Lonchura striata: one gene and its partners. The protein of the gene in region 2 interacts with the protein of the main gene of each other region in a biochemical or structural test. Links are inferred from orthologs where the notes say so. Each region holds a gene or a part of one and is shown on either strand. Other genes may lie near its edges.

Evidence for each region.
Region 1: the proteins of RARA (region 2) and NCOA6 form a complex in vitro, tested with the Homo sapiens proteins (3 studies listed by BioGRID). The link is inferred for Lonchura striata from reciprocal best matches to the Homo sapiens genes RARA and NCOA6.
Region 3: the proteins of RARA (region 2) and TRIM24 form a complex in vitro, tested with the Homo sapiens proteins (3 studies listed by BioGRID). The link is inferred for Lonchura striata from reciprocal best matches to the Homo sapiens genes RARA and TRIM24.

What each region holds. Positions count from the first base shown.
Region 1 is NC_134619.1:14,165,074-14,168,814, forward strand, and holds the start of NCOA6 (nuclear receptor coactivator 6), read left to right. Parts: upstream 1-1,196; 5' UTR 1,197-1,268; intron 1,269-3,741. UniProt on the Homo sapiens protein: Nuclear receptor coactivator that directly binds nuclear receptors and stimulates the transcriptional activities in a hormone-dependent fashion. Coactivates expression in an agonist- and AF2-dependent manner.
Region 2 is NC_134627.1:6,948,478-6,952,218, forward strand, and holds the start of RARA (retinoic acid receptor alpha), read right to left. Parts: upstream 2,274-3,741; 5' UTR 2,149-2,273; intron 1-2,148. UniProt on the Homo sapiens protein: Receptor for retinoic acid. Retinoic acid receptors bind as heterodimers to their target response elements in response to their ligands, all-trans or 9-cis retinoic acid, and regulate gene expression in various biological processes.
Region 3 is NC_134607.1:230,202-233,942, reverse strand, and holds the start of TRIM24 (transcription intermediary factor 1-alpha), read right to left. Parts: upstream 2,342-3,741; coding exon 1,951-2,341; intron 1-1,950. UniProt on the Homo sapiens protein: Transcriptional coactivator that interacts with numerous nuclear receptors and coactivators and modulates the transcription of target genes.

The DNA of each region.
Region 1 (3,741 bases), on a different chromosome or scaffold from region 2:
CCCTGCTGTGTCCCGGTCCCGGTCCCGGTGTCCCCGCTGTGTCCCGGTCCCGGTGTCCCCGCTGTGTCCCGGTCCCGGTGCCCGTGTCCCCGCTGTGTCCCGGTGTCCCCGCTGTGTCCCGGTGCCCGTGTCCCCGCTGTGTCCCGGTGCCCGTGTCCCCGCTGTGTCCAGGTCCCGGTCCCGGTCCCGGTCCCGGTGTCCCCGCTGTGTCCCGGTGTCCCCGCTGTGTCCCGGTCCCGGTCCCGGTCCCGGTGTCCCCGCTGTGTCCCGGTGTCCCCGCTGTGTCCCGGTCCCGGTGTCCCCGCTGTGTCCCGGTCCCGGTGTCCCCGCTGTGTCCCGGTCCCGGTCCCGGTGTCCCCGCTGTGTCCCGGTCCCGGTGTCCCCGCTGTGTCCCGGTGTCCCCGCTGTGTCCCGGTCCCGGTGTCCCCGCTGTGTCCCGGTGCCCGTGTCCCCGCTGTGTCCCGGTCCCGGTCCCGGTCCCGGTCCCGGTGTCCCCGCTGTGTCCCGGTCCCGGTGTCCCCGCTGTGTCCCGGTGTCCCCGCTGTGTCCCGGTCTCAGTCCCGGTGTCCCCGCTGTGTCCCGGTGTCCCCGCTGTGTCCCGGTCCCGGTGTCCCCGCTGTGTCCCGGTCCCGGTCCCGGTCCCGGTCCCGGTGTCCCCGCTGTGTCCCGGTCCCGGTGTCCCCGCTGTGTCCCGGTGTCCCCGCTGTGTCCCGGTCTCAGTCCCGGTGTCCCCGCTGTGTCCCGGTGTCCCCGCTGTGTCCCGGTCCCGGTGTCCCCGCTGTGTCCCGGTGCCGGTGTCCCCGCTGTGTCCCGGTGTCCCCGCTGTGTCCCGGTCCCGGTGTCCCCGCTGTGTCCCGGTCCCGGTCCCGGTCCCGGTCCCGGTGTCCCCGCTGTGTCCCGGTCCCGGTGTCCCCGCTGTGTCCCGGTGTCCCCGCTGTGTCCCGGTCTCAGTCCCGGTGTCCCCGCTGTGTCCCGGTGTCCCCGCTGTGTCCCGGTCCCGGTGTCCCCGCTGTGTCCCGGTGCCGGTGTCCCCGCTGTGTCCCGGTGTCCCCGCTGTGTCCCGGTCCCGGTGTCCCCGCTGTGTCCCGCGCTCTCCCCGGGGGTCGCGGTGCCCCCCCCGCCCCGCGCGCTCGGGCGCAGGCGCGCGCGGGTCACGTGCGCGGCGCAGGCGGCGGAGCGGCGCTGGAGTCCCGGGCCGCGCGCGACCCCCGCCCCGCGCGCCCCCGCGGCTCCGCGCGCGCCCCCGGCGGCGGCGGCGGCGGGTCCAGGTGAGGGGAGGGCGGGGCGGGGCGGGGGTCGGCACGCGGCCGCGGCGGGGCCGGGGCCGGGGCCGGGGCCGGCCCGGGCGGGGCGCAGGCCGAGCCCGCGGCGCGGGGGAAGGGGCGGCGGGGCCCGGCGGGGCGCGGAGCGGAGCCGAGCCGGTGGCCCGGGCCGCCGGCGGCGTCTCGGCGGTGCCGGCGGAGCCGCGGCGCCCGGCCGGAGCCTGTCAGCGCGCGGCCGAGCCGCCCGCGGCCCCGGCGCGGAGCCGCCCCTGCCCGGCCGCGCTCGGCCCGGCCGCGCTCCCGGGCCGCGGCTCGGCCCGGCCCCGCCGGCCCGGGAGGGACCGCGGCCGGGCCGGCGGCGCTGTCCGGCGCGGGCGCTGCCCGCGGGCCGGCCGCTGCGCGAGCCGGTCCCTCTGCCCTGACCTCATGCGGGCGGTGACGGCTTTGTGCCGTGTCAGCCGGGGCGCGTTGACGTTTCGCTTTTGTTCGCGTCCTCGGTGAGTCTTAAACCAGTCGGAAAAAGGCTCTCCACTCCTCCTCGCCGTGTGATTTCTGCGTTTCTCTAAATGCCAGCTACTTTAAAACCATCTCAGGAAGCTCAGAGCTCTGCTTCCTTCCCGCTGCTTTGGGGAATGGAAGGACAGAGCTCTTCTGTGGCTCTGCATCCTGGCAACAGGTTGGAGCTTCATGAGCTTTGTCTCTCCATAACCCCTCAGCCTCCTTATAGACACATGTTTGATCATTCCCCTCACTGGGAACTGTAGGGAAACCTTTATACGAGGTTTTATTGTAGTAAAACCTCTCTTAGAAGAACGTGCCTCTTGGTGGTCTTGTAATTATTGTGTGTTGTTCTGGCTGGATTTTTAGCTAAGGCGCCTTTCAGTATTTCCTGTGTGTGGAAACAAACACAAAGAACAAATCTGGCACCTTCCATAAAGGTTACCAAGTGTAATGACCACAAGATTTGGATTTGGCAGCTCTTTTCAAGTTGTAGCAGATGGTCCCAGCTTTTCTAGGTATCTTGTGGAGCGAGAAACAAAGGTTTTGAAGCGTGTGTTCAGAAGGGCCAGGTCTGGGCCTGGCGAGGTGTTTGCCAGAGATTCTAAGTATCCACTGAGCCCTGTGGCTTCCTCTGAAACTTACCTGGCTCCAAGAGGAAATGTTTTATAGTAACACTGTGTCCGGACTCTCCTGGGAGAGGAAAGATCCGAACGTGAGGGGCTGGCTGCACGCATACCTCATCTTCAGTTGAGAAATTACATTTCTTAGTATTTGAAACCCAAGGAAGGGTCTTCTGTTAGGCATTGGATTTGGGCTGAAAATCTCTCAGCAGCGCTCTCCAGCCATTTTCTCTGGAAGGCCTGTCCTTCTGTAGTAGGACTTGGAGGACTTGTAGGACTTGGTTGTTTACAACAGGCTTCCAGGTGATGGAGTAATTTAACATTTTTCTAGTAAAAAAGTAGATGCTTCTCTGACATAAGAATTCCAAGTCCTTGTGCATCTGGAAGTGTTGGTGTTTCCATTTTTCAGTGGCTTAAATATTTGACAATACAGGTTGTGGAGGTAAATTGTGCTGAGCAGCTGTAATGCCACTCTTTGTGCTGCCTGAGCACAACAAAGGTTCCTGCTTTTATGGGAGATGTTAAATGTTTCAGTGTGATAACTAAACCTTAAAGTGGCAGTATATTTTTATTTTCTTAGTACAAGAGCAATTGCTTTCGGATGGAAGCTGGAGTTACCACCCAATTAGACACTCACTAAATTTACTAGATTTGCAGTGGCAAAGGATTTGCTGCTGAAGGGATTGAAGAGTTAATGTGACTGTAACAGTTTGCATTGAGAATGGCGAAATTTTATAGGTTGCTAGCGAACCTCTGAAGGGCAGAAGGCATGATGAGGGTGTCTTTCAAAGTCCTGTGGTCTCTGTTGAGAAATGCAAAGCTGTGGTGCAGGGACAGTGTGAGGGAACAGGAGGCCTGCTGGTTGTAGAGCACTGAGCAGCAGGACTTCACCCTCAGTGCTGCAAAAACTGTATTCAAGCCTCAGCTTTTTCCTTAATGCACCAGCTGGACCAGAAGGAATGAGAAAGAATGTGTAGGGCTGGGAATAGGTGAGGACCAGCAGTGGAAGGAGAAATAACCCCAGGTGATACCAAGTTGAGGCAGCAGGGAAGATGAGGTTTTCCATCTCTGGGTGAGTCTCTCCATTTCCACCAGCCAGACAAGCAAGTCACCTTTGCTTTAGCAGAGCCGTGGATATTTTGTGCTTTGTCTTGACACTGTTGCAGACTCTGTTGTCCCCTCAGGAGCAGGTCTCTGATGTTCTTCAGGAGGAGCCACCCATTAATTGCAGATAACTGAGCATTTCAGCCACGGAGTCAGCGTGTTCCTGCATGGAGAGCTGGAGGTTTAGCTCAAGAGGATGAAGATAACTTAGATTGTCTTGTGCCCATGCTAATTAGAGTAATGCTGCTGGAGTT
Region 2 (3,741 bases):
CCCAGCTTAGGCAGGCTCCCAGGAGCAGACACCTGATGTACCTGGGGGGGCCAAACCGCTCCATGCCACCACCAGCACCACCGCGACCCACCGCGTCGCGCCCGGGCTGGCAGGCAGGCAGCCGTGTGCCATGTCCCCTGTCACTGCCGGGCAGCCGGGGCTCAGAGGGGACAGCGGAGGCCACGGCGGGCGCACGCGGCCCCTCGCCGGGCCCTGCCACGAGCCACCCCCCGCTAAGCCGCCTCCAGCCGCAGGGAGATTAACCCATTTTCCGTAATCAGCACATGTGTCACCGCAGATATGATCGCACCCCCCGCGCTCGCTGCGCTCCCCCCGGGGCTGGCGCTGCCAGGGGGCCCTGCGGCACAGGGGTGCCCCACGGCACGGGGCACCTTGAGGCTCCAGGCACGCACTGCAGAGCACTCACAGTTCCTCCAGCCCTGACGTGCTGCAGCAGCGCCCCAAAAAGGGCCGGGGGACCCCAGAGGCCAGCCATCCTCTTCATGGCAGCACTGGCATCGGCGCTGGATTTTGCCAAGACAGTGGCTCAGGGCACGGCGGCTCAGGGCACGCGCGGCCAAATGTGGCACGTTGTCACACCAGAACCTCCTGGATATAAATAGATCCAGAGCGGCGGGATGGTGAATCCCAGCGCCGCAGGGCAGGCGGTGGCGGTGGCACAGCCGTCCCCAGGCTCTGTGGCAGCGACGCTGCTCCTGCCACAGGGACCGAGCGCGGGGACACGGAGGATGTGTGAGGACAGCTGGGTGAAGCCAGGTGTCCCTGTGGGATGGAGCAGCCACACCAGGCGGCTCCGGATGAGGCGCAGGGCACTGCCCTGCTCCTGTCATCCCACTGTCGGTGGCTGTGTCACCGTGTCACCTAGGGGGGCTGCAAGCAACGGGGAAAAAGGGGCCAGACACCCATCAGGACACCCGCGGGCATCCCTGGTGCGAGCACCCACGGGAGCAGGCGCTCCCTCGAGCCGCAGCAAGGTCACCCCCAAGGGCAGGGTGGGGGCCCACGGGTGACATATGGCCCGGGAGCAGTGGCCGCGGGGCCGCTAAGCCACCGAGCCGTCACCCGTTAATCCCGGTGCGAGGACGCGGCGGGTGCCGCACCCGGGGCCACCGGCCGGTGCCTGCCCGGTTCCCCGAGCGGAGGGACCGGCTGGGGGAACCCCCGTGTCCCCCCCAGCACCCGCCGCGCCGCGGGGCGGCCCCTGCCACCAACGAGGTCAAAGGTCAGAGGCACAGATTTGGGGGACAGAGGCACGGATTTGTCTCCGCACCGCCCTGCCCCGGCCCGGGGCGCTGCTCCCCGCCCCCGAGGGGGGTCCCCGCTCTGTCGGGGTTGAGTACCCGGGGGACTGCACCCCCAAATCCCCCACCCCGCCCCGAGCCCGCGGGGGCTCCGCCGCCCGCAGCCCGGCCCCGGGCAGCTGCTGCGGGAGGGAGGCGGCGGCCGGCGGTCCCTTCCCCGGCCCCGCCGCCCCCCGCCCGGCTCCCCCGGGCCCCCCCGCCCGCCGCCGCCCTGTCAGCCGCGCAGAGCGATGGCTTCCTCCGCCCGCCGGCCAGGAAACGGCGCAGACGCCGCTCCCGCCCCCCGGCCCCCGGCGCCCCCCGCGCTCCCGGCCCCGCTCCCCCGCCGGGCCCCGGCCCCGCCGCACCCCGAAAGGGGAAGCGGCCCCGGCCCCCCCCCGCCGCGGGAGGATGGGGGGGGATGTGGCTGCGCGCACCGGCGGCCCCGGAGAGCCCGGTAATCCCGGGGTGGTCTCCCCAGCACCGCGCTCTGCGGCGGTGCTCCGGTCCCCGGTGGGGTGTAGAGGCTAGCGGAGCCGCCCCGGAGCCCGCCCCGGAGTGGGGGCGCAGCGCTGCCGCCCGGGAGCGCCCAGGCAGTCGGTACCGGGAAAGGGAACTCCGGCACCCCCAAGCCCAGTGTAAGAGGCAGAGGCCAAAGCCGCGATCTCGAACCCGCTGCGGCTCCGGTGCTCCCGGCAGCCGCAGCCCGGCGGAGTCCCTCCCCCGCTGCGGGAACCCCGGGATCACCCGTTACCGGAGGGGGATCCCCAGAGGCGGTACCGGAGCCGCATCAAGACCCTCCTTCCCAACCCCGCTCCCACGGGCAGATCCAGAGCCCCCTCATTACCTGCTCGCGGAGACTCCAACACCGAAATCCTTAAACCCGGGGAGTTCCCGGTGGTGGCTGCATGGCGGCGGCACCGGGAAGGAGCTGGGGGGGAAGGGGGGGCTTCGCCCCGGCTTAGAGGGGTGAGGGAGGGGTGGGGTGGGGGTTCCCGGGGGGGTTCACCGAGCGGCGGCCGCGGCCATTGCGAGTCATGTGCTCGCGGGGAAACTTTACCCGGGGCTGGGCCGGGCGGGGCAGCGGCGGCGGCGGCGGCGGCGGCGGCGGCGGAGGGCGGGGGGAGCGGGAGGAGGACACGCCCCTCCCCGTGGCCACGCCCCCGCCCCGGCCCAGCGGCCAATGGGGCGCGGGCGGGGGCGGGGCGGGGGCGGGGCCGGCGCCGCTCAGTGACTCTTTGAAGTCTCCAGAAAGCGGAAGGGGAGAAAGTGGGTGCGCGCGCCGCGCCGGCCGGGGGGGGGGCTCTTAAAGGGGCCGCGCACCGCGACTTCGATGCCACTCTTACCCTTCTTCTCCGCCCCCGACCCACCACACCACTCACAGGAGGAGGTGCTCCAACGACCCCCACCCACCCCCACCCCCAGCCCGCTTCCCTCTTCTCTGCCTCTGGATACCCAACCCCCCCCTCCAGGTGGGGGATTGGGGCGCCCACATGAGGGAAAACACAGGGGTGGGTGCTCCAGGGGTGTAGGGAAGAGATGGGAACACATTGAGGGGAAGAGGGGAGAGGGATAGGGAGTTCCTGGGTTGCCCCCCCAGGCTCAGAGGGGAAGAGCTGGGGGCACCTGTGGCACCCCGGGGGTATAGAGTGGTGCCTGTACCCAGAGGAATTCCCTGTTCTGTCTGTCCCTGGAGAGATGCTGATTCTAGGAAGGGGATGGCGATGGAGATACGGACATGGACACAGGCTACCCAGCCACATTCTGGCAGCCCAGAAAGGGCACCCAATGCCCTGCACCCACCAGCACAGCCCAGACCCTGGGAGGGCTGGGAGGGCAGCGGGGCAGGAGCTCCCCTGCGAAGGCACACATGTGAGGAGTGTAGGCAGCTTCACCACAAGCCCCGGGGGGAGTCACACTAGCCCTGCCGCCGCTGCCCAGAGCCCTGGGATACCTGTCAGGATCCCACGGTACCCACACAGGAGGGTGATGGCCCGCCAGGCCACTCAGCACATTCCCGTGCCTCAGTTTCCCCCGTGTGCTCACCAGAACGATGTTGTACACCCCGGCCGGGGCACCCCCAGCCGGGAGCAGCCGCTGGGCCCCTCCCCGCACACCGGGGCCGCGGCGGCGAGGCCCAGGCGCCGGCATGTGCTCAGCCCAGTGGAATGTGCCAAATCACTCCCAGATGTGCACGGCGGCCAGCCCGACCCCCCCCCACCCCACTCCGCTCCCACCGGGGCAGCCACCGGCCACCGGGGACCCCCGAGCGCAGCCCCGCGGCACCGAGCCCACCGCCGGCCGCGGGGCCCGGCCCCGTCCGTGCCGCGGCGTCGCGGCCCCGAGGCGCGGCGGGGCGGGCAGGGCAGCGGCGGGAGGCGCCGCCGGCACCGGGTGGCCGCGTCCCCGGTGCCACCGGCGCCCCGCAGACCGCGGGCGG
Region 3 (3,741 bases), on a different chromosome or scaffold from region 2:
CAGTTGGAAAATGGATAGTAGACAATGCACTTCAGTTTGGCCATAGCTAGCTAATACACAGTCCCTGTCATTTTAACCAAGTCAAACACATGACCAGTAAAGATACAAAAAATACTCAGGGTGAGTGTAAGTTTCTTCTTCCAACTGCACAATGAACTCTAGTATGGAAGCATGAAAGTAGCTTGGGAGAAAAGTCAAAAGGGTAAAAATAATTGTCACCAAAAGTACAGTATGTCTGCAAATCTTTAGAAGGAGGAGTATGTACTGTGAAATCATTAATATAAAGAACCAACTCGTAATCAAAAGGAGGGAGCAGAGCTACAAGCTCACTGTTGCTGTGATTCATTATCAAGCAGATGTTTGAACAGCACTGATGTTTTAATTCTTATGATGCATCTCATTTCTCATTCAGCTACAGATCCCTATTTCTGCTATATTTATAAAGAACATCTGGGAATGGACCTGTATTGTTCATGACCTCAAATCTCAGAAGACAATGATAATATTGCTTCTTACACTACCTTGCAAACTCCTGAGCTTGTATCTATACCCTCTTTCCTATTTCCAAGTATCTCACCTGAAATACCTCATTAAACTCCAGAGTTTGTGCTTTTTCTGTTCCTCCCAGAATCTCCCTCCCACTTATAGACATATGAGCAGTAACATGTCTTGAATCAATCAAGTATAAGTATACGGGCTTTGGGTCTCACAGATTTTCCCACTCTGTAACTTGATTAGGCAGTCTGACTACGACATACTTTACATGCTAAAATTAAAGACTGAATGAATATACTAACACAGACACTCGCATAGATGAAGAGGTTCAGCATATCCTGTTAACATACTTGGGAGCTCCTCAGATGTTCTGAAGCAAATCTCTAGCTGTTCCAAGTATTTCTTTCTCTGAAGAAGGCGTTTCCTTTAAGAATTTCTGCAAACACTTTACATATTCGAGTGGTAATCTTTGGTCAGAACTCTGGCAGGATGAAGAAGTATTCCTAACTCCACTTAAAGAACATAAGAATGTCAACCTGGAGCTACTACTTTTCACCTGATCTCTCACTACATATTCCAACAAGTACAACCTCCACTAATACCTATCGATTAGCTCAATTTCCATCACACTTCCTCTTTCCTAAACAAGTTTTTCCAAGACCTTCACCAGCTTCCACAACAGGACGAAATTGCCTTTAACAAAACTAAGCGATCCATTACACCCAGCCTAGGAGGGCTAGGGGGGAAAAAAAATCAAAAACATTAGGAAAGTAGCTTTAAACGGAAGGAGTTTATTCCACACCTTCTACAGCGACATGTACTTTTCAATCATATTGACAGAGGCTACTGTGTCGGCACACGAGCGTAACAAAACTTCCTCGCGGTAATTAGCAAGTAAATGGCGCATAAGCGCATCAGCAGAGCCGCCCGGGCTGCCCACGGCCCCAACAAGTGTTGTTATTGTTCGGCCGCCCCGGTCCCCGCCCAGGCCGGCGGATGACACCTGCAGGACTCCCCTCAGGAAGAGCCTGTCCTGCCGCTACGTTCCTGTGCCTTGTCATCAGATCAGCCGGTGCTCGGCTTCTTTGCCGGCCAGGGGCCAGAGCCTGCCGGCTCCCCGAGAGCAGCCGCCCGGCCCGCGCCCACCGCCCGCAGCGGGAGCCCGGCTCTCAACGCCCCGGTCCTGAGAAAGCACGGGAGTTCTGCCTTCCCTCCCAAGGTGGGAAATTTAAAAAACAGCGATTAAAACAAACCGAGCCACAGCACAACCCCGCCGCCAGCCTTGGCGCTGGCGAGCATCTCCTATCCCGGCAGCTCCGCGGCCGGACACCCGCACCCCGCCCACGGCACCCGGTCCCGACAGCTCCCGTCCCCACACGGGCCTCCGGGCTGGAGCGGGCAGCACCCCGGGCAGCGGCAAGGGGGTACGGGCAGAGAGGGAGAAGGGTCACTTACTGGGCGTGCAGTGCATCGGTGAGGCTTGCGAAGAGACGGGCGAGGAGGGAGGCGCCGCCGGCGGCGGCTCCTTGAGGGCGGCGGCAGCCGCGGGGGTCAGGACGGGGGGCAGCATCAGGTACCGGTCCGGCGGCGGCAGGCAGCGCTGGCACACCGAGTGCAGGCACGGCAGCAGCTTCGGCCGCCGGCTCTGGATGGACTGCCCGCACACGCCGCAAGTGTCCAACAGGTTGAGCGGCGCCGCGTCCCCGCCGCGCTCCGCCGGGCCCTGCCGGCTCTCGGCCTCGTTCTCCCCGCTCAGCGCCGCTGCTGCCCCCGGTCTGTCCGCCGGGCACGGCCCCCCCGCCGCCACCGCTACCGCAGCTGCTAACGCCCGCGCCGCCTCTTCCATTGTCCTGCGCCGGTCGCCGCCGGAGAGGCGAAGAGAGGCGGAGCAGCCCCGCCGCTTCCCGCCCGCGCCGCCGCCGCCTACCGGCGCCTGCCCCGCCGCGCCGCCAACGGACGCCCGCGCGCCGCCAACGGACGGACGCTCCCGCTCCGCCCCGCCCCGGACTGCCCCGCCCCGCCCGCAGCCCGCCCCGACCCGCCCCGCCCCGCTCCGCCCCGCCCCGCTACGTGCGGCGAACGCTGCCCCGCCCACCTCGTCCCGGGAGCCCCGCCCTCTCCTCGGCACCCGCGGCCGCTCTCTCTCACCTGGGCGGTACCTGGCTCTGTCCGGGTGAGAGGAAGGCTGGGAAGTTCCTCTTGAATTTGAGGAAAAACTTCTTCACTGTGTGGGTGACCGTGCTCTGAACCCTCGGGTTGCACAGAAAGGGTGTGGAGTCTCCCTCGCTGGAGATGCTTAAGAACTGTTTGGATACGGTCCTGTGCCATGTGCTCTAGAATGACCCTGCTTGAGAAGGGATGTCGGCCCAGATGACCCACTGTGGTCCCTTCCAACCTGACTCATTCTGTGATTCGGTGAGACGTCTTTGTCCCTTGGACAACACATTAAAAGAGGTCACCCTTCTCCCTGCCCTACGTGCAGGTGAGAGGCTGTGAGTCTTGGCCTGTATTTGGCTTGGCCGATCACAGCAATACCACCACATTACCTGACTGAAGCTATTTGGTGATTGGTACAATTAAAAAGATACAACAGAAAAGTACAATTCTTGTTTAGACAGAACATTGTATTGAATCAAAGGCCTTAAGTATTGTGCTGGTGAGACATTGGAGAAGGTTACCCAGAGAATTGTGGATGTCCCAACCCTGGAAACGTTCGAGGCAATGTTGGTCCCATACTGAAATCAGACAACAAACTTTCTAACACAATTTTAAGTATCAGACAACAGACACTCTTTATTACCGTGCTGGACACATCAGAACGATAGCTCTGTTAATCTGATGTGCTTCCAGAAGGTACAAGTTATTTATTCCATCATGATCATACATACTGATTACAGTGTACTTCTGGCTAATACATAAACATCACTTTTCACAGAACTAGTTTGCATGCATCTGCCTTCTTCTCTCCTACTCAAAGCCTTTTAATGTCCCTAAAGGGTAGTCTGAAGGGGTCTTTGTACTCACCAAGTGCCCCCAATATTACAGATGACCTTTCCTTGAACTTCTCTTAGGGCATGTACTGCTGCTTCTTTTGAGATAACTTGGCCCAAGAAGCCACTATATTCCTCATTATCAGTTTATCTACTGGTTCGAGCCCATTTATCATCCTGTGTGCACACTTTCACATTCTTTTATCATTTTTTGTTAGCTGATCTATTCAGCAACTTCAGGGGAACTTAAAATTTG